Linked DNA regions of Cricetulus griseus. The protein of the gene in region 1 purifies or fractionates together with the protein of each later gene. This does not show direct contact. Links are inferred from orthologs where the notes say so. Each region holds a gene or a part of one and is shown in the gene's direction. Other genes may lie near its edges. The genes, in order: Stx7, Snap29, Stx6, Stx8, Pttg1ip, Napg and Vamp3.

What was found.
Region 2: the proteins of Stx7 (region 1) and Snap29 purify together in Homo sapiens (affinity purification with mass spectrometry; 3 studies listed by BioGRID and IntAct, counting the BioPlex papers as one, with this or other methods). This does not show direct contact. The link is inferred for Cricetulus griseus from reciprocal best matches to the Homo sapiens genes STX7 and SNAP29.
Region 3: the proteins of Stx7 (region 1) and Stx6 purify together in Homo sapiens (affinity purification with mass spectrometry; 3 studies listed by BioGRID and IntAct, counting the BioPlex papers as one, with this or other methods). This does not show direct contact. The link is inferred for Cricetulus griseus from reciprocal best matches to the Homo sapiens genes STX7 and STX6.
Region 4: the proteins of Stx7 (region 1) and Stx8 purify together in Homo sapiens (affinity purification with mass spectrometry; 5 studies listed by BioGRID and IntAct, counting the BioPlex papers as one, with this or other methods). This does not show direct contact. The link is inferred for Cricetulus griseus from reciprocal best matches to the Homo sapiens genes STX7 and STX8.
Region 5: the proteins of Stx7 (region 1) and Pttg1ip purify together in Homo sapiens (affinity purification with mass spectrometry; 3 studies listed by BioGRID and IntAct, counting the BioPlex papers as one, with this or other methods). This does not show direct contact. The link is inferred for Cricetulus griseus from reciprocal best matches to the Homo sapiens genes STX7 and PTTG1IP.
Region 6: the proteins of Stx7 (region 1) and Napg purify together in Homo sapiens (affinity purification with mass spectrometry; 3 studies listed by BioGRID and IntAct, counting the BioPlex papers as one, with this or other methods). This does not show direct contact. The link is inferred for Cricetulus griseus from reciprocal best matches to the Homo sapiens genes STX7 and NAPG.
Region 7: the proteins of Stx7 (region 1) and Vamp3 purify together in Homo sapiens (affinity purification with mass spectrometry; 3 studies listed by BioGRID and IntAct, counting the BioPlex papers as one, with this or other methods). This does not show direct contact. The link is inferred for Cricetulus griseus from reciprocal best matches to the Homo sapiens genes STX7 and VAMP3.

Annotation. Positions count from the first base shown.
Region 1 is NC_048595.1:243,359,526-243,363,652, forward strand, and holds the start of Stx7 (syntaxin-7), read left to right. Parts: upstream 1-1,327; 5' UTR 1,328-1,456; intron 1,457-4,127. UniProt on the Homo sapiens protein: May be involved in protein trafficking from the plasma membrane to the early endosome (EE) as well as in homotypic fusion of endocytic organelles. Mediates the endocytic trafficking from early endosomes to late endosomes and lysosomes.
Region 2 is NC_048597.1:71,888,233-71,891,732, reverse strand, and holds part of Snap29 (synaptosomal-associated protein 29), read left to right. Parts: intron 1-1,518; coding exon 1,519-1,617; intron 1,618-2,629; coding exon 2,630-2,787; 3' UTR 2,788-3,500. UniProt on the Homo sapiens protein: SNAREs, soluble N-ethylmaleimide-sensitive factor-attachment protein receptors, are essential proteins for fusion of cellular membranes.
Region 3 is NC_048598.1:36,560,652-36,564,151, reverse strand, and holds part of Stx6 (syntaxin-6), read left to right. Parts: intron 1-648; coding exon 649-755; intron 756-3,500. UniProt on the Homo sapiens protein: SNARE promoting movement of transport vesicles to target membranes. Targets endosomes to the trans-Golgi network, and may therefore function in retrograde trafficking.
Region 4 is NC_048600.1:81,830,839-81,834,826, forward strand, and holds the start of Stx8 (syntaxin-8), read left to right. Parts: upstream 1-1,188; 5' UTR 1,189-1,306; coding exon 1,307-1,323; intron 1,324-3,988. Other genes in the region: Cfap52 (cilia- and flagella-associated protein 52), read right to left, coding at 331-406. UniProt on the Homo sapiens protein: Vesicle trafficking protein that functions in the early secretory pathway, possibly by mediating retrograde transport from cis-Golgi membranes to the ER.
Region 5 is NW_023276806.1:261,236,639-261,240,756, reverse strand, and holds the start of Pttg1ip (pituitary tumor-transforming gene 1 protein-interacting protein), read left to right. Parts: upstream 1-1,318; 5' UTR 1,319-1,425; coding exon 1,426-1,531; intron 1,532-4,118. UniProt on the Homo sapiens protein: May facilitate PTTG1 nuclear translocation.
Region 6 is NC_048595.1:176,130,171-176,133,670, reverse strand, and holds part of Napg (gamma-soluble NSF attachment protein), read left to right. Parts: intron 1-668; coding exon 669-778; intron 779-897; coding exon 898-964; intron 965-1,228; coding exon 1,229-1,299; intron 1,300-3,500. UniProt on the Homo sapiens protein: Required for vesicular transport between the endoplasmic reticulum and the Golgi apparatus.
Region 7 is NC_048595.1:5,346,201-5,350,481, forward strand, and holds the start of Vamp3 (vesicle-associated membrane protein 3), read left to right. Parts: upstream 1-1,481; 5' UTR 1,482-1,674; coding exon 1,675-1,676; intron 1,677-3,539; coding exon 3,540-3,624; intron 3,625-4,281. UniProt on the Homo sapiens protein: SNARE involved in vesicular transport from the late endosomes to the trans-Golgi network.

The DNA of each region.
Region 1 (4,127 bases):
TCCTTGACAAAGAATGATTTTTAAAATTACAACAATTTTGAAAAACAGAAACTGGAATTTCCTCCGTATCATGAAAAACATATAATGTCACTATATTGGGCTAATATTTCTAATAGTTCACAGTGGGGACTACGGGTATAGCTCTGTGGTGGATCATGTTTCCAAAATTTGAGGCCTTGGGTTTGGTTTCTAGCACCTGAAAACAAAACCTCAAACAACCTGGGCAAATGACACAGGCCTCTAGTTCCAGCTGCTCAGAAGGACAAGGCAGGGTTGAAAGTCCAAGGCCTGACTGTGCTATAGAGTGAGATCAAGATTAGTTTGGGCAGCCTATGAAGATCCTGTTTCACAAACAAAAGGCTGGGGATACAGGACACAGTTAAGGCCTTTGTTTTCCGTGTGCAGGGTCCTTGGTTCAATCTTCAGTACCTGACAAAATAAAGCAAACTCAAAAGTTCACAGTGGCTCTAGCTGAATCACATTGCTTTCACTGGGTGTTTGTCCTTTGACCAGGGTACTCACTTCACTGTGTGGATCCTGCTTGGAAGACGAGCGCATCAGTCTGACCTAAATCATCTATGTATGCTTGCATGTGTAAAACCAACCAACGTACTTTTCTCTGTGGTTCTGGTTCGAAGTATTCTGGATTCCCTTCAACTCTCTCTCTCTCTCTCTCTCTCTCTCTCTCTCTCTCTCTCTCTCTCTCTCTCTTGTGTACTTTGGTATCACATGTTTTCATGCTCTTTTCAGAAAATAACACCGTCTTAATTTTGCAAAGAATGTCTTTCACCCGAGCCACTGATGCTCATTGTTGGAACATTCTGTGCTCTTAAAGCCTGGGAAAACTGCTTCCTGTATTTCGAGGATGCGAGGACGATCGTGAGCTAAGAAAACATCTTTACCAAGTGAGCACCCAGAGGCGATTCTTCATTTGTTCTTTCGTGGATTCAGCCAGAATTGCCTTGACCTTGTGTGTGTGTGTGTGTGTGTGTGTGTGTGTGTGTGTGTGTGTGTGTGTGTGTGTGTGTGTGTGTGTGTGTCATTTTAAAATGAGGTTGTTAATAAAGTCGACTGCAGAGTTGAGGGTTAGGAAACAGGACTGGCAGGAGCTGATGGGGTATGAGTCCAGGGAGCATGGCGCCACCGAGTGAAGAAGACAGCTCTCCTGTATCCCTTCTTCTCTTGCACGTAGACATTCACCATCAGTGTGTCAGGCTTCAAGGCATTGCTCCGTAGCAATTTTGCTAGTCCCTTCAAGCTTTAGCTGTTATTGGCCAATGGGAGAGAAGCGAACCCCGCCTCCTTCTTCCCTGGGCTGTACCCCGAGCATGCGCAGTGGGCGGGCTTGCACCACCGCCCATCAGCTGAAGCTAGCTGCGGAGGGCTGTGGGCCCCTGGGTGACAGCGGCTGCAGGAGAAGGAGAAGGAGAAGGAGAAGGAAGCCGATGGGGTTAGGGTAAGAGGAGGCTGCAGAGCCGGGGGGTCCGGGAGGGGCGCCCCAGAAGCTCAGCCCGCGGTGGCTGTGTTTGGGAGCCGGCAGAGTCGGGCTCCCCGGGGGCGCGGGGCCGGCGAGAAGAGGCGCCCACGCCCCGCCGCGGACTCGGGGACGCGACGAGCTTGCACTCCCGGGCGGGTGCGCGGCAGGGAACCCCGGCTGCCTGTCAGCCTTGGGCGCCGATCCCATCGCCAGCTCCTCATTCTCTGTCAACTTCCCTTCCAGAACAGAAAAGTCAGAGCCCTGGGCCCTGGTCATCTGGCCACAGGTTATTTCTGCGGCCCCTTGAGTTTGCTGTGCTGCTGGCGGTGACTTCCACAAGCTAACTTTCTTTGACCTTAATTGTGCATGGCTTTAACTGATTTACCCCCAAGACCCTTAACAAAAGTATTTCAAGAATTCGCATCTGTGTTTTTTAGGTTAAGTTCAGAACAACAACAACAACAACAAAGCTTGGGTAAGGGTGGAGAGGGAGATAGCCTCCTAGTCAAATGCTAATTTTCCCTTCAGATTTTGTAATATGCTTGGATTTTATATACCTCTCTCTGTCTCGGATTTTATCTCTCTCTCTCTCTCACACACACACACACACACTTCAGATCTTGTATTCTGGCAATAATTGTCATTTATAGGTGGTCCACAATCAGGAAAAAAGAAAAAAAAAAAAAGGAAGTAACCGCGAAACACTGTTCGATTTGGTCCTGTTGGATATAGGCTTTTTTTTTTTTTTTTTTTTTTTTTTTTTTTTTTATGTGCACTCTGAGCTGCACTGGGCAGAGACTGATAAAACTGTTAAATTGTGTCTTGTCATGTGAAAGCCTTTGGCTTTGCCGCTTCCGAAGTTGGCCCCAGGCTTGTGACTAGTTAAGAATTAGACTGTAGTTTCCCAGTGTCTGGGGAAGTTAATGTGACACTGTATTAACTCGTCTGCGTCGTTTTTCCTTCAGGTAGTTTACTTCTTATATTCTTCCTGATTAGCAGTCATTTCTAATTTTGATTATGAGCCCAAGTTCGTCCAAGTGCTGCTGGTTGGAAATTATTAACGATCACGATTATTAGCTATACATAGTTCAGTGGTGGAGTGCTTGCTTAGTGTGCACGAGACCCTGGTTCAGTTCTCAGCATTGCAAAATATTATTGCTGTGTCTACTATTATTATTAGACGGAACACCTACAGTTAAGTCTGAGTGGATTTTGCTGTGGTTCAGTGTAACTTGAAATACTAATGGGTAAAACCATGGTGGGAAATCCTTGGTAAAGTAAGTTAAATCCAAATAGTGTAACATAATAGTTTAACTGATGAAGGAGCTGGGCTGAAGTGTGCTTTGGTAGCTTGTGGAACGGATGGAAGGTGGAGGCCCTCACTTCCATTGATTATGTCCGATGATTGTTCCCTCTCTTGTTTGTGTTAGGGACTGAAAATAAGCATTGTGGATCTTTGGGTCTTTTAAGTACTATAAATGGTTTGAAGCAGAAGGTACATTGACAGAGAGCAATAGCAGTGACTTCTCATTTCACCTCTGGCGTTTCTAGCATGTGATAACAGCTTGCTGAGAAAAGGAGCTGGTGCTCACGTGAGCACCGTGGGGGGGGGCCTTCTAGAGATAGGAAAATGGCACCCAGAAAAGCCAAAGCAGCAATACACCTGTCATTTAGTGTTTTAGAAATGTTAATATTTTCTCTCAGGCTGGGTATGTGTTCTTAGGAAATTGGTAAACCTGTTCATTCCCACTACAAACATTGATTCCTGACCTATTTTGTAGCCATGTACTAGAGAATAGAACAGGTCCACAATTTACACTCCACCTAGTACAGCACTAGACACACAAATAAAAACCGTGGGAGACAAGGGAGAAGGAAGTCCAGTGTATTACCATGGTGTGCACGATTAAGAAAGTGAAACTGACCATTTGTTTTGAGCAGGCTGAATTTCACACCAGTTTATACTTAGTGGAAGTCTTAAGGATTCAGCAGTATCTCCAGGGCAGTAGTTTACATTCAATATTCTGTAGCAAAAATTTCTCTGTTCATTTCTTTTTTGTTCTTTAGACACAGTCTTAAGACAGATCTCATTGTGGGCGTTGCACTTTGATCTCCGGTCTCCTCTTTCACCTTATAGTGCTTATATATCTTCATAAAAAGATAATTACTAAGATGTTGAGTTGAACGCTGTCCAGTAGAACTTTCTGGGGCGATAGAAATGAATATGTGAGCTGTCCAAGCTGCTGGCCACTGGCCGCATATAATTTCTGAGCACTTGAAAGGTGACTTGGGTGGCTGCCATGTAACTTAATTCACTTTAATAGTCCATGTCAATGGTAGCTACTCTACCGGCAGCGCAGGTACAGGTGATGAGTTATATAATTATTTTTTGCAAAGGCACTAGGAATTCCAAATGGGTTTATAAAAAGAATACTTTAGTGTCTCGCAGTTCAAGCTAGGTACTGGGGATGGTTACAGAGCACAAACATTGTATAAACATAGAATTAATTAGCTTAGTTGTAAAAGTCATAAACTTTTAAGTCATTTATCGATAACTATGTACTTGTATGTTTTTTTAATAGCAAAGATAGCATTGTCCCTCTTATTTGTATTTTATCAGAAGGGCCAACTCTTGTCTTTTGAATGTCGT
Region 2 (3,500 bases), on another chromosome or scaffold:
TCATATTGGGTCCAGGTAGTCCCAGTACTTGGGAAGCTAAGGCAGGGAAATTGTAAGTTTGAGTTTGAGGCCAGCCTAGATTATATAGCCAGGCTATCAGAAAACCAAAAACAAGCAAACAAACATACTAGGCGTTTTAGTCACTTGGGAGACTGAGGCAAAACATTACCATGAGTTCAAATCCATACTGGAACACAGTGGAAAACCCTGTCTCAAAAGATAAGAAAAGAAAAGGAGAGGCTAGGTGTGGTAGCACAAAACTGTAATTCCAGCACTCGGGATGAAGGCAGAAGGATCAGTAGTTCAGGGCCACCTCAACTACATACTTACATACCAAATTCAAGGCCAGCCTGAGCTACACAAGACTCTCAAAAGAGGACAGAGGTTATTTCTGTATATGTTTAGAAATAGAATTTCTTTCTTTGTTTTTGTTTTTGTTTTTTTTTGTTGTTGTTGTTGTTTTTTGTTTGTTTGTTTTGGTTTTTTTTTTTTTTTTGAGACAGGATTTCTCTGTGTAGTCCTGGCTGTCCTGGAACTATGTAGACCAAGCTCAGAGATCCTCCTGCCTCTGCCTTTGGCGTGCTGGGATTAAAGGTGTGCTCCACCACGGCCCAGCAAAAACAAAAATAGTAAGCTCAGTTTTGTAGCATAACTTCATTTCCTTTAGTCTCTTTGAGATTGTTTACTGTGTAGCCCAGGCTGGCTTTGAATTCATGATCCTGCTGCCTTAGCCTGCCAAGTGCTGAGATTTCAGCTGCAAACCACCACACCAGGCAATGATTTTCATCTTTGCTTTTTTCATGTTTTATATGGTTTGATGTGGTTTTGTTTCTTTTGAGACTGAGTCTCATTTAGCCCGGTCTGGCTTCAAATTCATTAGTAGATGATGACCTTAAAATTCTGATATTCTTGCTCTATCTGCTAGATTATAGACGGGCACACAACAACTTTGATTTTTAAAGCTGTCTCTGCCAGCTCTGCCTGGTGTAGTAGTATGCACCTGTAGTCACAAATATTGCAGGAATAGCTTGAGTACAAGAGTTTGAGGTAAGCTTGGAGTTCACGGGATTTACAGTAGAGAGAACTTGTCTAGCATGCACAAAGCCCTGGTTCCAATCTTAAGCATTAAAACAAACAAACAAAAAACCAACCTGTCTTCCAGAGCTTGCTTGCCTGTGAGCCTGCAGCTTTGCATTGACAGTTCCCTGTTGTATTGTCATGTCTCTTTCCGTATCTCACCTGTTGACTTGTAAATTGAGAGTCCTTAATCTGCTAATGTTGAAGGACCAGCCAGAGCTCAGACTTGACTTCTCCAGCCTATAACCCCTGTCCCATTCCCGCTCCTGTCCCTCTGCATGGCCTCAGAGGCAGCTACCTCCTTCCTCCCACCCCTTTAGTTCCTTCCTGGTATGAGTGATTACTGGGGACAGTTTCCTAGGACTTCAGAAAAGAATAGGCCAATTTCATGGAGCAGTGACCGTCAGTGAACTGTCCCTCTGGTGTTTCTTTCTGAACTAGACCCAACCCCCAAAGGGCCTGCTTCTGCTGTGACTGCTGAGGTTTACCCAAAGAACTCAAGTCTTCGAGCCTATCATCAAAAGATCGACAACAACCTAGGTAAGTTTGGGAGCTACAGCAGCCTCCAGACAGTTGATGCTGAGCACAGCCAGGGCGCCCAGTACTGCCTCACTGTCAGGAATCTGTCCACTTCTCCCCATTTCCTGCTGTCACTGTAGCCAAGCCATCCTCACTACTTTCTTGACTCCTGACCAGACCTAAGCATCCCTGGGGCTTAAGAGCATCCAGGATAAAGCCACACGGCTGATGTGAGTGCGAAGGAGCTGAACTCAGATCTCATGCTTGCCCAGCAAGTGCTCATATCCACAGAGGCATGTCCCACAGCCCACCAGGCTGGTCTATCTCAGCCTTTTTTCCTGTCCTTACTGTCTCAAACCCAAGAAGCTTTCTTGAAGCCTGGGTGAGTGACCACTAAACTTTTACTTTACAGGAAACGTAAGGTCACATGTTTCAAAGATCTCAAGAAGCATAGTATGCCAGGCAAACACCTGTCATCCCAGGTACCTGTGATTAAGATAGGGTTGCAAATCCAGGGCCAGCCTGAAAGTTTGTGAGATCCTGTCTCAACATGACAAATATAAAGAGGCTGGAGGTGTGACTCAGTGTTGGAGTGTTTCCCTAGCACATGCAAGGCCCTAAGTTTGATTCTCCAGCACTTAGGGGAGCAATGCTGTACGTGGTAGAGACCCTAAGTCTTCTCAGGCAGCAGAAGCAGGGAGATCACTCTGACTTCAAGGCCAGCCTGGATTGCATTGTAACTTTCAGGCCAGCCAGAGCTATCTATCAAGACTATGCTAAAACAAACAAACAAACAAACATGTTAACCCTGGTTATCTGGAGGGAGGAGGTAGACAGTGGCTTCTACCTACACTAACCACATATTACTATGTAGTAAGTAGATTTCTCTTCACTTCCATGTTTTTTGAGTCATATGCTACAGGCTGTGGCACTCGGTTTTAGACAGGACTCTGCAGTCCAGATACCACTGAGCATCCAGAGGGGCAAGAAGCCCCTGCAGACACTGTAACTGCCTATCACTTCCTTCTCACAGATGAGCTGTCCATGGGATTGGGCCGACTCAAGGACATAGCCTTAGGAATGCAGACGGAAATTGAGGAGCAGGATGACATTCTTGACCGGCTAACAACCAAAGTGGACAAGTTAGATGTCAATATAAAAAGCACAGAAAAAAAAGTTCGGCAGCTCTAAAGAAACTGAAAAGGAATTCTACTCCATTGTGATGAAAAGATTCAAAGCCTCTTTTAAACTCCTAAGAAATGTCATTGATTGTACAGTATGTAATTTAACATATGTGTTCAAATGTGGGTCTTAAGAAATTTTAGTTTCAATGGGGAAAAAAATGTGTGTGTACACATTTGGGTAAGATCAACACCTCTAAAGTTCTGGGCAGACTAATTGTGAATGCCTTGAGCTTTTGATACTGTGCAGGAAGAAGAAAACCGTGCATTTCTTTCTTTCACAAGTATATGCAAAGATGTGGGCAGGATGTCAGTCAGTCTCCTAACTATTGCCTTCTATTTACTCGCTGTTTCTCACTCCAAGGCCTTACTGTGAATTCATGTAAAGTGACCCTGGGTTTTGGCAGAAGGAAGGGTCCTTCCACATCTTTGTATGTCAATCATTATCGATATGCCTGCACATACACTGAGCACATTGTAGCTTTCTCCCCCTGAAAAGGACCCCTGTTAGACCCAGAAAAGGAATGTGTTGCCTTCATTACTCTCCCCTCCTGTCCTCAGTTCTTGTCCTGTATTTCAGTAGAAGGACTCAGACTAGAACTGTTGGACATGACACCTGCAGTGTATGGAAATTGGATGAACTCTTCTTCCCCACCTACTGTCATCTCATACTTGCCATCTCTGGTGGGGACAGGTTTTTTTGACTGGCTCTAGGTCACCAAG
Region 3 (3,500 bases), on another chromosome or scaffold:
TGTATATATGTAGACATTATGTTATTTTGTTCTATTTGCATTATCATGTTAGGCAACCGAGTTGTTTGCTCTCAAAATGTTACAATGAAGCAACATTTTTAATAGAGAGTAAGTCGAGCAGGCACAATTGAAAGTCTGTCTTTGTCAGCCAGCAGTTGTCATTGAGGTAAATTATTGTCCTTGAAGAAGAGGAGACGGACACTGTGCAATCCTCCCACATCCAGAGATTTGCTAGGCTCTCTTTCAGTGTTGCTGTGGCAATGTGTTGTGGACTGAAACCTTGATCTTGGCAGTGGGCTTCCTCTTCCTAACCAACCCGTGATGTGGTGGTCATATGCCTGTGTGCTTTTGGCCATTATCTGTTCCCTTATTGGACCTCAGCCAAGCAGAGTAAATCTATCTCTCTTGGTGGTTTCAAGCCCTGCTGACTGTTCACAAGTTGGATCAGCAGGCAATATGGGTAGCTTGACAATCCAGTCTTTGGAGCAGTGTGTTCTCAGAGGCAATGGTCTGGTTCTTTGATTCTGGGCTTTGCTTTTGAAAGTGAATTGTCCCAAGCTGGCAAAGAAACTAGCAGCTGCTGGAGTGCTGGGCTTGGAACCAGGTAAGATGGATTTTAATTGCTTATTTCCGTTTCCCTGGCACCAGTTGATTGTGGAACAGCAGGATGAGCAGTTGGAGCTGGTCTCTGGCAGCATTGGGGTGCTGAAGAACATGTCCCAGCGCATCGGAGGGGAGCTGGAGGAACAGGCAGTGTGAGTAGTGAGATGCCCTTATCTGCAGTGAGGATGAGGGGGGAAAGCCATCCCATGAGACCCTGAAATCCTAACCATGAATTTACATGGCTGGTAAAGAGAAAAAGCAACGTAATTTACAGTTACAGTTTTTACTTTGTTGCCCAAATTATCTCCCCTAAAGAAGCAAATCTACCAGATAAAAGTCACAATGGTAGTTTAGGCAAAGCTGTTACTTTAAAAACCATTTAAAAGCCAGACAAATTTCTTTCAGCAGATTCTTGTTTGTTTGTTTGTTTGTTTGAGACAGTTTCTCTGTGTAGTTCTGGCTGTCCTGGAACTCACTCTGTAGACCAGGCTGGCCTTGAACTCACAAGAGCTTCCTGCCTCTGTCTCCTGAGTGCTGGGATTAAAGGGGTGTGCTACCACCACCTGGCTCTCTTAGTAGATTCTTTAGGCGTACAGACAGAGCTGTAGACTCTGGAGACAGTGCTCCAAAGGGGAAAATAGGCATGAAGAAGCCATGTGAAGGTGGCATAGGACTCTCAGCTGTCATCGCAGGACACCCTACTACATTAAACATAAATTATAATCTTTTTTTAATTAAAAATGTATTTTTCATTTTACATACCAACTCCAGTTCCCTCTCCCTTCCCTTCTCCTGCTCCCCATTATAATCTTATAAAAAACATTTAAATTTGATTTTAACTAGGGAAAACAATCTTCCCCTCAAAACAAAGAAAAAAGCTAAACAAAACATAACTCTTAAAAATTGTTTTTGCTTAAGAACCTTGTCTTTTACACTCTAAAAGTATGATAAACAAAGATATCTTTCTTGAACACTGCCATATATCATTCTACTTTTTCCCCCCTGGGTGGGTGGGGTATCTACTAAGAGGTCTCAGAAAGTACCCACTGCTAATGTTCACTGTTACACATGCTCACTATCAGTTCCTCCTGGGCCCTTGTTCTGCACCAGGCTGTCTGGAAAGCTCAGGGGTACAGGAGTGAGCAGAATAGACTCTGCCTGCCATTCAGAACGTTTGCCATTCCCAGGTACAGCACATATAGTACAAATGAAGGAAGTAGTCCCATGGTGGCAGTGGGGACAGAGCCACTATCACTATGATAGGCTAGTTGGCTGACTGGAGAGCCCCATCTTTTCCAAGAAAGAGGATCAGCTGGAAGCTGTGGAATGTTTGGAAGGAAGGTGGTTGCGTGAGAGCCGGTGCCTGCAGAGATGTCAGCAGGTGTGCCGAGGAAGGTTCAGAGGTGCAGGTGTGCACAGAACAAGGTATTGAGTGTCTAGCATGGGGAGAGGGGAGCTGAGGACCTGATGGAGAGTCAGAGGACAGCAGGAAGGGCCTTGTCAGTGTGATGAGAAAGCAGGACTTTGACTTTTCAGTGTGGTGGGAGGGCAGGAAGGTGGAGTTTGGAGTGATGGCACGAGCAGGGACTGGGATGTTATAGCAGAGTGGAGCCAGGGTGGTGTGCCAGATGGGAATCTAGAGTAACAGGAACCCAAATGCACAGGTTAGTTTCTAATTAAAACGGAAGGGGCTCGAGCCACTTTGTTGGTGAGGCAGCTTGAGAATGAAGACAACCTGAGAGATACAGCTAGTTAAAGATACTGAAGTGACGACAGTCTGTAGCTCCATTCCCTTCAAAGTCACCACAGCAGTAACAGAAATGTTTTTTGTTTGTTTTTTGTTTTTGGTTTTGGTTTTTTTTTTTTTTTTTTTTTTGCAATGATATAAAACCTCTGGAGAACATATAACAGGATACATCAGTTATACCAATTTAGATGATGGACAGCAGGCAGGCAGCAGGTTGTGGATTCAATAGGCCAAAGGAAGCTGACCCCTGAGCCAGTGGGGAGTGAGCAAGAAGCGGTGTGCGTCCCACCACAAACCCCTCAGCTGTGACTAGCCTGCACTTAGGTGACTTCATGTTAATGGTGAATATTGATCTAATCCAATTGTGGCACAAGTGTATCAAAGAGAGAAGTGAGAAGGAGTCAGGGTTGGAATGGCGAGGACGAGGGCTGAACCCTACTCTAACAGTGCCATACCCTCAAGTGAAGTCTGCGGACAAAAGCCAGCATTGTAAGACACAAGCATGCTACTTCACAAGGGGAGAAAGCACCAGAAGCAGCTGAAGTGATGAGAACAGAAAGAACTGTTCTTTAGCATAAAATAGTTTAGCATAAAATCCCTGTGGGCCTGTTTCCTATTTAAAGTGGGTGTTCGTGTATCTGGTAAAAAGAGAGAAGAGATATGGGCCTTGAGCTGATAGATACATGCGCCATGCAGGAGACTAGCCACCCACTTCGTGTAGCTACCGAGCATGTGGAATGTGGCCAGACTGAGCCAAGATGTGCTGCGAGTGGAAAGTGAATGCTACAGTTTGAACATTGTTAAAAATGAATTTCAGAGGCTGAGGATGTAGCCCGGTTTGTGTAGTGCTTGACTAGTGTGCACTAAACCCTGAAGTCAGCGCCCAGCAGTTTATTGGCCAGGTGTGGTGATTCACACATTTGCAGAGTAGAAGCAGGAGATCAGAAGTTCAGGATCACCCTTGTCAGTTTGAGACCAGCCTGGACTGCGTGAGAGATCTTGGCTCAGTGTAAACCCCTTTAAAAGCACAGCTGCCAGAAAATGCAAAGTGCCATTTGTGACCTGCATGGTCTTTCTGTTGGGCAGAACCTTGGCTGTGGCTGTCCTTGCCTGAAGATTGAGTGGCATGCCTGTTTCAGCTTTAGCAAGA
Region 4 (3,988 bases), on another chromosome or scaffold:
GGTGTTACCCGGGGATGCATGGGGGTGGGGGTTGGGGGAATATTCAGAGCCAAGGACTGCTCCCAGGGGTGCGTGTGTGTGCGCGTATGAGAGAGAGAGAGAGAGAGAGAGAGAGAGAGAGAGAGAGAGAGAGAGAGAGAGAGAGAGAGAGAGAGAGAGAGACTGAGTTAGGCACATTCCAATTTCTGAGGCTCGGGAATGAGGCTAAGATCCTTCATCACCGTGGGTGATGCCTGGCTAGGCTCTTGCCACTGTCCCCACGGCCTCTCAGGTGCCACCAAGTCAGTGTCTCACTTGTCCCTGGGGTATTATGGATGCTCCAGGCCTCACCATTGAAGCCGATCACAGCCTCAAGCTCCAGTTCGGCTACGTCGGTCTCGGTTTCGGGTAAATTTTGTTCTTCCATCTTGGAGAATTTCAACTCATTGATTCCTCAACTCCTGGCTGCAGCGTCTTTTGGTCGTTATGGTAACTGGCGCACGCATGCGTGCTAGGTTTACGCTGGAGCAGAAATCCAGCCCACTGAGTTCGACTTTATTTACCTTTTTGTAAATGTAGGGAGGGCTTCCTTATTATTTTTTTCACTCATTCTAGAAATTTAGGTGTTAGGTGAATACTGAATATGCAGAATGAATTCCCTCGTCTCCCGTGTAAACTCTGACTTTTGTCTTAACTATAAAATTAAGCCTCTTATGGTAACTATTAAAAGTAATTGAACACAGAGAATTGCCTCTGATGCGTAGGCTGCTATTAAAAAACAAAACAAAACAAAACACGGAATTGATACCTCCTTGTAAAAGAATTCTTTTTGAAAAGATCACTTTAAAAATTTAAGTACAGTATGCAACTATTTTCATGTATGTATCACTATGAACGTTGCTTGTATGAATATTTCCGGCTTCAACCTTCCAAGCACGGCAAATTCAGGCGCGAGGTATCACAGCCGGCTTGCTCTGTTGTTTTTGAATCAGAAAAAAAGAAAAAAAAAAAATGCGAAGAACTACGAGAGCCGGAGTCTGAAGCGCTTCCATCCCTGGGAAAAGGTTTTGATTCTGCTCAACAATTTAACCATTTTCCTTGCGTCCAGCAGTTCGTACGAATTAACTAAAAATCGATTGTTGCAATCCACTGTCTCCCAGGGGTGAGCTTTGGTTGGTGTGGTTTTGAGGCCCCTAAAATATGTTTTCTGTGCTGTCCGCTGGGCTCGGGTCGCGCACCTTCCGAACTGCGGGGAATGAGCCGCGCGGGCCGCCGTAGTCAGCTGCTGTGAGCAGGAAGTGTCCCAGCTGCAGGCGGAGACTGCACCATGGCCCCGGACCCCTGGTGAGTTGCTGGTGTTGGCAGTAGTTTGCCGTAGGACTTGGGGTGGAAGTGGCTCCCAGGGATTCGCATAAACCCTGGCCATCGTTGAACTTGAGGCTGTCAGCTTTTAGGGGTGAGCAAAGCGGGTGAGGATCCTTTCCCTGTTTTGGGGACCCAACCACATCCCGCCTCCCCGGCGCTAACTCGGTGGTCGGAGGGGGACACCGTGACCTGGGGGAGCTGGGACTTGAGCAGAATCGATATTTTCCCCCGCCTTCTGTGGGGGCTTCTCGCCTAACCTGCCTGTGGATGACTGCGTGTGTAGACTCCCCTGGGGTCCTGTAAAAGTGAAGTAGAAATAACCTTTTGGTGGGATGTCTCTGCCTTCACCCATTAATCCCCAGAAAGGGAAGAAACTGAGGTTCAGACTCCATGGTCCCCAGCCAGTTAGTAGTTAGCTGGGCATAGGTGTAATGGGCTCTTCACAATAAGACTTGTAGCAATCTGGGAGGGAAGTTTGCACTTGTGATAGGCAGTTTACCCTTTCCTGTGTCAGTATCATGAAGACTTAACGTCAGCAAGAACTAGTGCAAAAGTCAGCACCCGATAAGGGCCATTTATTCAGCAATGAAGCCCCAAGGAAAGAATGAAGAAAATGTGTTCACACAAGGAACACATTGCTATACAGTCTTGACCTTCCTGTTTAATAATTTATAACATTGTATTTCTATAAAGTTCTTGTTGGAGGATATGCCTTATGTGGGTGTTTCTGGTACAGTTTATAATTGTTTGATGGCAGACAATTTTAAGTATTAGGAGAGTGGATCCCAAGGTCAGAGTTAGAGTTACCTGGGATTTGAGATATTTGGGCTAGTTGCTGAAATTTTCTTGGGCTTTCATTTGTTTGTGTGCTTTGTTTCCATTGTCTCAGAGAGCCCAGTCTGACCTTAAATTCCTGATCCTCTTGCTTCAGTCTAAGTGGTTCGATTACATGCAGCCACCATGCCCAGGAAATTGCTGAATTTAACACTTCTTACTCCCCCCCACACACAAGTTTCAACAATTGTGTACACCCCTGGTAGAAAATTTGGAGACTACTGAGTATCTGCAGGAAAGAAAATAAATAGCATCTTCATCATTTGGAAAGAACCAATGTTAACTTCTTTTGAAGACTTTTATTGTTTGAATCTATATCCTGCTTGTATTTTACACAACAGGAAGCGTGTCTCCATATCATTAAGTAGTATTTAAAAATGATTTTTACATGCATATCAGTACATCATCTGAATGTTCATATATTTCAGTTTTTCTCAGTGGTAGAACTTACTACATGCAAGGCTTTGAGTTTGGTCACCAGCAACACAAGAAAGCTTTCAACTGTCAAATGAGAAAGCCACTGAGTAAAACAATTGAGACTAACAGTAAAAGAGTTCTAATGCTTCAGTGTCTTGGGGTAAAATTCCCCTGAGTCAGATCTCATTAGACTACTGTGCCAAGTTCTGTAGAAACTGACCTCTGCTAATCTGTCCTATTTAAATGTACCCTGCTAACAGGGCCAGTACTTGGTCAGGCATGCTTTCTTCAATTCTTCTGTGCTTGTGCTTTCCATGGTGTTTAGATTTCACCCCTCCTTCCAGTATGGAAATCTGCTTTAGTCTGGAAGTCAGCCCAAGATGTCCTCTTGCAGCCCAGCCAATCTGAGCACCTCTGACATCAGTAATGTCTCCCATCCTAACTCCAGAGGTACTTAATTTAGGTCTCGTATTTGATGGAATTGTGTTATGGATTTTATATGTTTGATCTGCCCTTACAGAGCAAGACTAAGCTCCTGTCTTCATAGCTGATAGTGTGAAGGCAAACAAGTAAAATGTGGGGAATCCGGGGCTAGGACTATTTTCCTTATTGCCTCTCTTTTTAAAAAATTTTATATATAAGCCAGGTGGTGGTGGCAAACACCTTATATCCCAGCACTCAGGAGGCAGAGGCAGGCAGATCTGTGTGAGTTTGAGACCAGCCTAGTCTACAAGAGCTAGTTCCAGGACAGCCTCCAAAGCCACAAAGAAATCCTGCCTCCAACACCCCCCCCAAAAAAACATATATAATATATATTAACCACCTGCTCTTTTTCATACACATACCTATACCTGAATATACTGAATGATGCATATTGATGTATATGTGAGTCTAGGGTTAGGGGTGACACTGTCTCTGAAGTGCTTGTGAAGTTCACAACAAAGTTCTCTCTGTAGGACCTGGAGCCACATCCCCAGCCCAAGTTAAACACTTTTCTTCTTTCTGATGCTGGTGATTGAGTCTCGTGCACTGAGCTATGCCTTTATTCACTTTTTAAAAAAGTTTGAGACGTTTCGTTAAGTTACTTCAACCTTACGGTCTGCTCCTTTAAAAGCTTCTCTCTTTGGCTTGTTGGCGTCTCATTTCCCCACCATGGAGTGAGATCCAAGCTGGCCAGCTTGAACAATAAAAACAAACCTTTTGCTTTTGCATCAGTGTCTACTCCTGGGATTGGTATGGGACTCCTTGAACCTGGCACAACATTTTCTTTTCTTCTCTCTCTCTCTCTCTCTCTCTCTCTCTCTCTCTCTCTCTCTCTCTCTCTCTCTCTCTGTGTGTGTGTGTGTGTGTGTGTGTGTAGACCAGGCTGGCCTTGAACTCACAGAACTCTGCC
Region 5 (4,118 bases), on another chromosome or scaffold:
ATTCATAGTTCCATATAACAGTCCATTATCAAAAGCAGTCAGGAAAAGAACTCACACAGGGCAGGAACCTGGAGACAGCAGCTGATGCAGAGGCCATGGAGGGGTGCTGCTTACTGACTTGCTCCTCATGGCTTGCTCAGCCTGCTTTCTTATAGAACCCAGGGCCACCTGCCCACGGATGACACCCCTCCACAACGAGCTGGGCCCTCCCCCAATCACTAATTAAGAAAACACGCTACAGTCCTGCCTCCCACAGTGCACTCTTAAGGAGGCATTTTTCCTGTTGAGATTCCCTCCTCTCAGATGACTCTAGCTTGTGTCAAGTTGACAGAAAACTAGCAGTCTCGAGCTTGTATCCTATTTTGCTAGGTTCGACAACTGCCCAGGTCTTTAGTGAGTCAAAGCACTTGGGAGCCACTGTTTCGCATTGACCTTTGGTGTCCCTCAGCCTTGGTCCCCGGTTCATGCAAAGAAAAGTACCCTCTCACTAAAAGCTCCTCTATGTCTAAGTTCGATTCTCCAACCATCGTGAATCAGGATCGTTTTGTTCTCTTTGAGCCAGGGTCTGACCGGCTGAGGAAGACCTTGAACTTCTGACTTTCTTGACCCCCGCCTCCCAAGTGCTGGGGTGACAGGTGTGCGCCATCACGACTGGTTTGTGAGGTTCTGAGGATGGAACTCGGAGGCCTTGTGCATCGGTTGCTAGGCAAGCAATTTACCATCTAAGCAAGCTACCTCCTCAGCTCTCTTAGGGACTTGAACCGCATTCCGTAACAGGTTCGAGGCAGCGTGGATGCCGTCTTAACGTGCCCTGTGAACACCCACGCGGCTCTGAGAGAGAATCCACAGGACCGGGAGAGGCCCTTCTGGGGGGTCGGGCAGGGTTGTCGAGGGTAGGGTGGGCTACGGAGCAGGAGCAACCCACAATCGATGCTGCCAGCGGCCCTACTCAAGGAGCTTGGCTGCACTTGAGGCCACCGGCTCGCTCCGCGCCGCTCTGCGGTCCCATGTCTCAGAGCCCCTCGGGGTCCCGGGTCTCTTACTGTCCCCAACGGACCTATGCGGAGCAAGCCGAGCTGCCGAGCCTCACACCCGGCCTGAGAGTCCAGCAGCTCCCTTGCTACGCAAGCGCCCCAGCGAGCCCAGCCTTGTAGTCTACTGAGCACGCGCGCTGCTCTGAGGCTCCCGTTAGACCGCCCTCGCGGCCCTTCCCACAGTGCGCAGGCGCACGAAGCCTCAGCGGCGCCCGGAGGCGGGGCGTAGGGCGAGGGGGCGGGGCGAGCCGGAGCCTGCGGCTGCGCACTCGCAGTCCCCCCGCCCCTCGGGTTTGCCCACGGAGCCTCGGCGCTTGGCGGTGCAAACGTCTTAGCTCAGCGTCCGGGTTGAGTCTTCGGAGGTGCTGGCCGCGGACGCCACCGACGCACCATGGCGTCTGCTGCTCTCGGGCTGACGCCGCGCTGGCTGATGCTCCTCGGCGCCGCACTGCTGCTGCTTCTGCCCATGGCCTCCGCGCAGGAGCCTCCGGCAATGGGTAAGGCCCGGGGGTCCCGGAGGAGGGCGGCTGGGTCGGATCCAGGGCGGAGCCCAGCCCAGCGGGCTTCGCCTCCTCTGCGCTCACGCCCTCCCTTGGAGCTGCGGGCGTGGCGGCCGCTCCCGGAGTTACGTCGTGCCCCGAGGCACGACACACAGGCCCAGTCGGAACCGGTGCCTTGGCACCTGCTTAGCAGCCGGCTGATTCGGGGTTCCACTGGCGAGCATCTGCTTTCCTGCCTGTATCAGATGCTGGGGGCCGCCACGATGAGGAGCCGAGCGAAGTCTTGCAAAATGCCTGACTCTAGCCCGGTACTGTTTCTTTCGGGGGAAATCGGGGAGCTGGCAGGTTGTGTCAAGGCCTGAAGCTGAGGGTTGGCTTGGCCAGCTTCCTGACCTTTGCAGCGAGGGCTGATGAGGCCCAGCTAGAAAGAGAGTATTTTTCCAAACCATGTTAGCTCGGTCTCTCTCATGGTGTCTTTATACTCTAGCCTGGCACGGTGTGTTTTCTCTTTGTGACCTTTTGTGTGTTGTCGCAGCTCTGTTTAAGTTTCTTATCTGCTCTCAGGTCTGCCTAGGGTCTGCGACTGCTGCACCCCAGTTATCTCCTCTGACTTGCGCCTCAAGGCTTGCTCAGCCTGCTTTCTTACAGAACCCAGGGCCACCTCCCCACGGATGACACCCCCACAACGAGCTGGGCTCTCCTCCACCAATCACTAATTAAGAAAACGCGCTACAGTCCTGCCTCCTACAGTGCACTCTTAGGGAGGCATTTTTCCTGTTGAGATTCCCTCCTCTCAGATGACTCCAGGGGACTTGGGGTCAGATTCCCCAGGCAGAATGTTGGAGAGCCTGTAGAGACACAGGACCCCTTCCCAGTGGCTCAGGGGTGTCTGCACATTGGTGGGATGCTCTAATGAGGACAGCGCCCACATCCTCCATGTCTTACCACAGAACATGCTGGTTGTGAGATTTCTACTAGCTGACATTCTGTAGGAAGATGACTGATGTTTAAAACAATATGTCTTTTAAGGATACTGCATAAATTTAAAGAATACATCACAGTGGCCCCAAACTCCCCTTTTTGTTATTGTTTGAGACAGGGTCTCAATAGGCCAGGCTGGCCTTGAACTCAGTATTTGCTTGCCTGTGCCTCCCAAGTGCTGAGATTAAAGGTGTGCAACACCAGGTCTGGCAAAACTCACCTTTTAATATATATATATATATATTTTTGTGGGTGTGTGCTTCGTGGGTGGGTTGACATCTGAACCTGTAATGGGCTAAAGGGCCTGAGAGTGAAATTCCTGAAGTTGAGGGCACTTTGGTAGGGCTTTTGTACCCTTCCTAATGGTGTGTGGAGTCACTGTCTCAGAGCTTCGTCTTGGGGAAAACAGTCCCTAGAAGGACTGCAGTTGTCATCCTCCACAGGACTACTCGGGCACAATGCTGGCTGCTGGTGGTCACCAGGTGGTGAGTCCTTACTGAACAATGCAGTTTGCAGAGCAATCTCCTGTCGTCGTCCCCCCCTCCCCCCCCCAGTGAACTGTACTGGATGCTGCTGCATGCATCCCTTTTGTGGTGCCCTGCTCCTCCTCTGCTTTTCTCCTCAAATATCGAGGTGGCCGGGACTACTTTGTCTAAGCGTAACTCTCCTGATATGACAGTAGAGGTGCTCTTTTGAGTTCTGTCACTGGAGTAGGCACTAAGCCCTTCCACATTTATGGGGCGGGGCGGTGCACAGAAGACAGCAGCATGAGGCCTTCAGTATCATAGGTTTATAATAAATAATGTTTGTTTCCTTAGTTTTCAAAGTCACCCCCTTCCCACATGTGTAGGTGTGTCCCTTTGTCCTGGATGCCTTCTGTTGACTCACCTGAAACGTCAGGGACCCACTCAGAAATGAGTCATATTTATTATCTTTCCATTTAATTATTAAAGGGAATGAGTCTGAAAGTTCTTTTAAAAATGAGTAAATAGGGCTGGAGAGATGGCTCAGAGGTTAAGAGCACTGGCTGCTCTTCCGGAGGTCCTGAGTTCAATTCCCAGCAACCACATGGTGGCTCACAACCATCCGTTATGATATCTGGTGCCCTCTTCTGGCCTGCAGGCATGCATGGAGGCAGAGTGTTGTATACATAATAAATAAATAAAATCTTTTAAAAAAATGAGTAAATAGCACCTACACTGAGCTCTTAATTCATAATGCCTCAGAGTCAGGGTGTTGAAGATCAGCACTGAGGAACTGCGAGGACATTGTTCTTATCTCCAGTGTGTGGTTGGCTGTGTCCCGTGATGGGGTGGTGGGGTAAGAGATACTGTGTGTGGCCTCCTGAAATGTGAGCTGTGGGGCAGCAAGTTGTCAGTGTTTCCTGCCTTGTCACATGAGTCTGGGAGTTACTGCAGCCAGGATGCCTGCCACTCATGCTTTCTGATATACAGGATCCACACTAAAGTTGGCCTGTGGAGGAGGAGGGGGGCTGGCCTCTGGGGATTTAGATTTCCTAGTGGTAGAGAGGCCCAGGGTGGCCAGAACTCAGGATGTGTTTCTTGGAGCTCAGTTCTTTCGGTTCTGGACATAGAGATCTGGA
Region 6 (3,500 bases), about 67 Mb from region 1:
ATCTGAGAAGTGGAAGGCTTCTGCATGTAGTAAAGTTTTACAAGGATGTTTGTTTGTTTTGTTAAATTACTTGTAGGTTATGGAAAGAAAAATTAGCTTTATAATTTTTTGGTTTTCTAAAAGTCAGGCTGGAAAAGAGAGTTCCAAACTAGCTATTGCCACTTATCTTACTCCTTTTTAATGAAATAATGGACTATTTTGACCAATATGCCACATTTGTACTTCTTAATAGCAGATTACTATCCAGTTGTAGTGAGATGGGGTGTGTGTGTGTGTGTGTGTGTGTGTGTGTGTGTGTGTGTGTGTGTACACAAGCCAGAGCTCAACCTTGGATGTCTTCAGCTACCTACCTTGTTTATTGAGACAAGGTCTCTGGCTTGCTGCTCACTAATTATGCTAAACTGGCTGATTGGTAGTTCCTGGCATGCACCTGTAGATATACTTCTCCAGAAGTAGATCTACTTCTCCAGAACTGAGATTACAAGCACCTATCATATGTTGGGCTTTTTGTTGTTGATTTTTAGACCTAGATCTCAGATGGTACCTACTCTATACTACTGTGTGTGTGTGTCAAAACGTAACATGTGTAGGTAAAATAATTGAATTGTTAAAACTCCACTTCTTAAGTTGAGACATTTTCTGCCCCATGCTGCATGCGTTTCCTGAAGGAGATGCAGAAACTGCCTGAGGCCGTCCAGCTGATCGAGAAAGCCAGCATGATGTACCTGGAGAATGGCACCCCAGATACAGCAGCTATGGCCTTGGAGCGAGCTGGAAAGTAAGTACACACAGCTGTTGTGGGATGCCCTGGCTTTGCAGAGGACTCCTTTGTCTTGAAAAGTTCTTTAAGAAGCAAGTTTCTTAATTCTCACAAGTTGTCTTCTCTGTCTAATTCAGGCTCATAGAAAATGTAGATCCAGAAAAGGCTGTACAGTTGTATCAGCAGACAGCTAATGTGTTTGAAGTAAGTTAGAATTTTATTTGTTTCTTTAATTACTCATAATATTTTCATTCATAATATATAGGAAAAGAAAAATACAGTGGATTCTTTTTAAGGTTTTTCTGTGTCCACAGCCCAACTCTATTCCTTTTTTCTTCTAGAGGTTAGTGAATGGGCTAGCAGCTTTGGTGCTACCATCCATGGCATTGCTTTATGCAGTTGTTATGGAAGGGTAAGAAGAGTTCCACATTAACCCTGCCGACACTCCCTTTTCTTTGATTCCTCCAGAATGAGGAACGCCTCCGGCAGGCAGTTGAACTTCTAGGAAAGGCCTCCAGACTGCTAGTACGAGGACGAAGGTATGGCTTTCAAAACTGTATGCCCATACATCATGTGCATTTTGAATCTACATTTCAGACTTATACATAACCTTGGTTGGATCTAGTTTATCTACACCTAGACAAACAATGGAAACATGGTCAATTTCTAAAGAGTAGGCACATGGAATGAAAACCTGTTTTTCTATCATAAAATTCCAAAATGTATCGTGCTTTTGTTGCCTAACAGTAGTTCAGTACAATGGAAGAAGAGTTATCTTGATCTGCCATTGCACTCTGCTTTATGTTTTTCTCTTGGAATAAGTGACAAAAGCATCCTAAATACCCAAGATACTTGAGTTTTATCATTAAATGGGATTGCCTTAGTTATCCTGTGTTTTTTTGTGTTTCCATGTGAAGTTAAAGATGGTTTTTTCAATTTCTGTGAAGAATTGTGTTAGGATTTTGATGGGGGTTTCATTGAATTTATAGATTTCTTTTAGTAGAGTGGCTGTTTTTACAATATTAATCTTACTGATACAAGAGCATGGGAGGTCTTTCCATCTTCTGGTGTCTTCAGTTTCTTTCCTCAATAGCTTAAGGAAGGTCTTTCATTTCCTTGGTTGGAGTTACCCCAAGGTATTCCGCACACATGTGTGTGTGCGTGTGTGTGTGTGTGTGTGTGTATGTTTGTTGTGAAAGGTACTGTTTCCCTTACTTCTTGCTCAGTATATTTGTCATTTGCATATAAGAAGGCTATTGATTTTTATGTGTTAGAAATTGTTTATCTGCTGTAGAAGTTTCTAGGTGGAGTTTTTGGGGTCTTTTATGTACAAAAATCATCTGCAAATAAATATATTTGATTTCTTCCTTCCCTGTTTGTATCCCCTTGATCTCCTCCTTTGTCTTATTGCCCTAGCTAAGACTGTAATTACTGTATTGAATATGTATGGAGAGAGTGGGCAACCTTGTCTTGTTCCCAACTTTAGTGGAAATGTGTTGAATTCTCTCCATTTTAGTTGGTGTTAGCCATGGACTTGCTCTAAATTGTCTGTATTATGTTGAGGTTATGCCCCTCATATCCCCACTCTCTCGTACTTTTATCATGGAAGGGGTGGTGGGTTTTGTTGAAGGCCTTTTCTTTATCTAATGAGGTGGTCATATGGTCCTTGCCTTTCAGTTTGATTAATACAGTAGATAATATTTATCAATTTATGTATGTTGAGCCTGCTTTTTTGGAATGAAGCCAATTTTATCATAGTAGATAATCTTTTCATATGTTCTTGGATTTGGTTTGCAAGTATTTTATTGAGAACATTTACATCTGTATTCATAATAGGTATTGGACTATATAGTGGCCTTATAAAAAGAATTGAGAAATTTTCTTCAGTTTCTATTTTGTGGAATAAATTGAAACATATTGGCATTAATTCTTTGATGGTCTGATAGAATTCTTTGCTGAATACAACAAGGCCTAGGATATGTTTGGTTAGATTTCTTATTTACTGCTTCTATATTACGAGGGGTTATGGGTCTCTTCAGTTGCTTGTATCATCTTGACTTCACTTAGGTCACATGTACCAAGACATTCATCCATTTCTTTTAGGTTTTACAGTTTAGTATATTAGAAATTTTTGAAGTATATCCTCATGTTTCTCTGAATTTCCTTAGTTTCTGTTGTAAAGTTGCTCTTTTCATGTCTAATTTTGTTCATTTGGATCTTCTCTCTTTCTTTTAGTTAATTTGACTAATGTTTTGTCAATCTTGTTGCTTTTTCTCCAAGAACCAACTCTTCCTTTCATTTATTCTTTTTATTAGTATTTTTATTGTTGTTGTTTCTGTTTCATGAATTTCAGCCTTGAGTTTTATTTTTTCTTCTGTCTACTCCTTGGGTTTTATTTCTTCTTCTTCTTCTTCTTCTTCTTCTTCTTCTTCTTCTTCTTCTTCTTCTTCTTCTTTTTCTTCTTTTTTTTGTGTGGAGCTGACAGGTGTGTCATTGAGTTACTAATATGAGATCTTTAGTTTTTTGATGTAGGTATGAACTTGCCTCTTAGAATTGCCTTCATTGTGGTCTAGAGGTTTGGATATGTTCTGTTTTCATTTTCATTCAATCCTTAAAAGTTTTTTCTTTTTAATTTCTTTTTAATTTTCTTGTTGATTTCTGCTTTGACCCCAAGTTGTTCAGTTTCCATGAGATGATGTACTTTCTGCTGTGTCTGTTGTTTTGATTCTCAACTTTAGTC
Region 7 (4,281 bases), about 240 Mb from region 1:
AGATAAGTAAGGATCTTACTGTGAATTCACCTTTTCTCGTGTACCCTGGGTACTCCTAAGTTCCCTGTTTAAGCTCAAGGATGACCTTGAACCTCTGACCGTTTACCTACAACTTCCAAATGCTGAGATTATGGGTGCCAACAGGCTGGGGTTGTTTGTTTGTTTGCTAGTTTGTTCTTTCCAGACAAGGTTTCTCTGTGTAACAGCTCTGGCTGTTCTGAAACTCAATCTGTAGACCAGGCTGGCAGGGAACTCGCCGAGATACACCTCAGGCTGGGTTTTATGTGGTTCTGGGGATCAAACCCAGGACTTTCATGTGGGACAAGCCCAATACCAACTAGGCTATACTCCTCAGCTCTACCGAGTAGTTGTTTTTCGTTTTTTTTTGTTTTAAGCCCTTTTCCGGCTTAGCTCACTTAGGTCTCCCTTCTAGGTACTTTATCATTATTCCGGTCCTCTTCTCTGCAGAGTTCTGCTCGTCTCTCTAGGAGTGCCTCACTAGATGTACCTCAGAACTAGTGCCAGACGTTTTCACACTGAGTCTCCCAAGAGGAGTCCCTGGTACTTTCTGGAGCCCGCTGCATTTAAATGCCTTTGTCTTGCCTGTCTTCACTCTTGTTGTACTTGAGCCCAGCCCCACATTCTCTAGTTCTGTGCTGCACCTCCACTTAACCTAGAACGCGCCCCCCACCCCCCGGCCCCAGCTACCACTCAACCCAATACCCACTCAGGTGGCACGCTCTGCTTTCCAGCACACGTTAACTTTCTGGAATTACCATCCTGGAGTGGAAGACAGCTTGGGGGTTTTCACTTAGGAACCCACCAGCTGCCCTCATCTGGTCTGCTTAAGCATGTTGGATTGCATTGTAGCGGATACTACTCACCTCATTCGACCAAAAGTCCGGGGCCAGAGAGTTACAGAAACCAAGAGAGTTCTCAACGTCAAGGATCCCTTCAGGGATGGTGGTATCCGTGCAACGGCAGACACCTGTCACCGCTAGTGAGAACACGGGGGTGGGGGCTCCAAACGGGCTTCCTCCCGCCCCTTACTTACCTTCCTGGCGGAGGCACTTGGGTTGTGTCCCCAGGACCACTAGGCTACTCTGGGGCGTTAGCACGCACGCCGTTTCTAATGTCGTCACCACCCAGAGACGACGTAAGCAGGCCCAGAGGGCTGTGCAGCGCACCGGTTCTTACTCTAACCTGCCTTTCCAGGGTAGAGACAGGGCAGCGGCCGCGACACCCGACACCGACGAAGCTGCTGCTGCTGCTGCTGCTGCTGCGACGCCCGGGCGGCGAGGAGCCGGTCCAAAGGCGCAGGCGCCGCGCCCTGGCCCCGCCCACTTGTCCATCGAGAACGCCCGCCCAATCCAGCACCGGCGCTGCTGCCGCGCCCAGCTCTGGCCCCGCCCACTCGGGTGGGCCAGGGAGGAGACGGCCAGAGCGCGGCGCCTGGGGCCTGACTCCTGCCCCGCCCACTTCCGGCGCGCCCTCCGCGGCGGCGGGCTCCTCGTCGGTTCCTGCCCGGCCCCTGCTCGTGACGTCACCGCGGCCCCGCCCATCTCCACGGCCTCGGCCGCCGGCTGCCCCAGTCCGCCGCCGGTCTCCGCCGGTCTCCGCCGTCTCCGCCGGTCTCCGCCAGTCTCCACCGCCGCCGCCGCCGCCGCCGCCAAAATGTGAGTGACGCGCTGCGCCGCGCGGCCAGGCGGGCTCCGGGGGGCGGCGGCCGCCACGTCTGACGAGGGTCCCGCCCGGGACGCGGCCGCTCGGGACTCGCACTCGGGTGGAGGCCTCGCGGGCCTGCGCGCAGCGCCCTGGGCCTGAGGTGGGCGGCGGCCCCGCGCCGCGCTCTGCCCTCGGGCGCCGCGCTCTGCCCTCGGGCGCTGCGGGCCCAGGCGTCCTGCCGCGACGTCCCCGAGTGCTCCGCGGCTGGCGGGCCGACGCGGAAGGGCGAGGGTGGGGCACCGGCTTCCAGAGGAAGCGTCCGCCACGCCCCGAGCTTCCTTCCCCGAGGTCCCCGAGAGGGGCGGGGGCGGCCCTGGGCGCTCGCCCGCCGGCTCGCCCGCTCGCTCTCCCGGTCTCTGTCGGCGCCGCGCCGTGCCCAGGCCCAGGCGGTGTCCGCGGAAGCGCTGCCGCGCCCCCCGCGGAGCTCGGCCGTGGGTTTCGCTTCCGCCTTAAGCAAGGAACTCTGTTGTTTTGAAGTTGGTGTCTAGTGGTGACGTTCGCAGGACTCTGGTGACACCGCTTAAGATGCACCCGGTCGGACTGCTGTGCGAATGGCAGGGCCCCAGAGCCGGTCAGAGAATTAAGCTGCACCTGGCTACACCCCAGCCGGCTGGCTGCGTGCTGGTTCTGAATGTTACCGAGGTGAAGGTAATAGTGCCCTCTTCAAGGGGGTGTTCGGACTCAGAGAGAAGCCAGACAGCCGTGAGAAGTGTCGCGTCCTGCTGACAGACACGGTGCAGACTGTCGTGTGGCGAGGCACACCTTAGGTGCTGGCTTAGATACAGGGAAGAGTGAGTCGTTACGGAAAGTGGGCATGGGTGAATAAAGCATTCGGTGAGCCTGTGGAGGATGAATGGCTTTCCAGCAGAGAGAGAATTGCTTTCAGCCCGCCTTTCCATTCACACACACCCCACCATGCACTTGGGCTCTACATCTCCATTTTGGCTATTTTGTGATTGTTTCCAACTATAAGACAGTTCTTGCCACAACAAAAGGATCAGAAGAATACTGAGTGCCCTTAAACGTTTGTGTGTCTTTTAAGAGGTTTTTGGTTTTTTGGGTTTTGTTTTTATTACATAAATACAGTTACCTGCATGTGCCCCTGCAGGCCACAAGAGGGCACCAGATCTCACTACAGATGGTTGTGAGCTGCCTTGTGGTGGCTGGGAATTGAACTCAGGTCCTCTGGAAGGACAGCCAGTGTGCTTAACCTCTGAGTCATCTCTGCAGGCCCTAAAGCAAGCTGAAAGAGAGAGAGAGAGAGAGAGAGAGAGAGAGAGAGAGAGAGAGAGAGAGAGAGAGAGAGAGAGAGAGAGAGAGAGAGAGAGAGAGAGAGAGAGAAAGTAGAGGTATTATCCAGTCTTGGGATCATGCACTTCATTGACACAACAAAAGTTTCAAAGTTTGGTCACTGGAACAGTCTTGGGAATTATTGAGGGATCATAAAAAAACTGCATTGGTGCCTTTATTTCTTACTGCAGGACTGTTTTTACTTTTGTTTTTTAATTTCAGTATAAGGAATTAGTAAGTCCAAGTCCCAGCGTGAACAGGTTATACACACACACATACACACACACACACCATGGTATATGTTCGAGGACAGTTTCAGAGATCCTTGCCTCTCACCTTATTTGAGACAGTGTCTCTTGTTCAGTACTGTGTGTGTCAGGCTAGCTGGCCCTCAAGTGCCCAAAACTGTCATGTCTCCTCTCACTGAAGGAGCACTGGGGTTACATATTTGCCTTACCAAGTCTGGCTTATGTAAGTGCATTGGATATCATAATAGACTCATGTTTGTGCCTTACATCTTTCAGGTCCACAGGTGTGCCTTCAGGAAGTTCAAGTGCTGCTGCTGGCAGTAATCGAAGACTCCAGCAGACACAAAATCAAGTCGATGAGGTACTGCTCTAAAATTCTAAACTGTGGAATTTAAACAAACCCGGGTATTCTGTGGGATTCTATCAGAAAAAGCCACTGGAGCTGGAGAGATGACTCAGTGGTTAGAACACTTTCTGTTCTAGCAGAGGCTCCAGTTTGGGTTCCAAGTACATACTTGGGCCATTCAACTGCCTTTAACTCTGGCCTCCAAAGGCACCTGTGTGCATCTGTGCGTGCGCACACACAAACCCTTAACAATTTTTAATGTTAGAAAAAGAAAAAACATCAATGTGTGAGTATAATTTTGACTACATCAGAAGTCTTTCTAATTGTGTGTTTAGAGGACTTCAGTGAAGATTCTGTGAGAAATTCAGATCAGTTTTCCATATTTTTTTCATATTCTTTTTTTTAAGCTTTTTTTTTATATGAATGAGTGTTTTGATTGCATGTTCTAGAAGCTGTGTTTTAAGCACAAGGCAAACTCTTCCTGGTTTCACTTTTCTATTATCAAATCACATACCTAAAACATGTGAACCTGTCCCTGAAAGCATGTCCCCAGAGCCCCAGAGCCACTTCGTAAGATAGGGTAATCAGATTGTTTAAGCCAGGAACAAGTCTTTCTGATCGGGTGGGATATGTGTCTGTGTCTGTGTTCTGTAGCCAGGTTTACTAGTTACC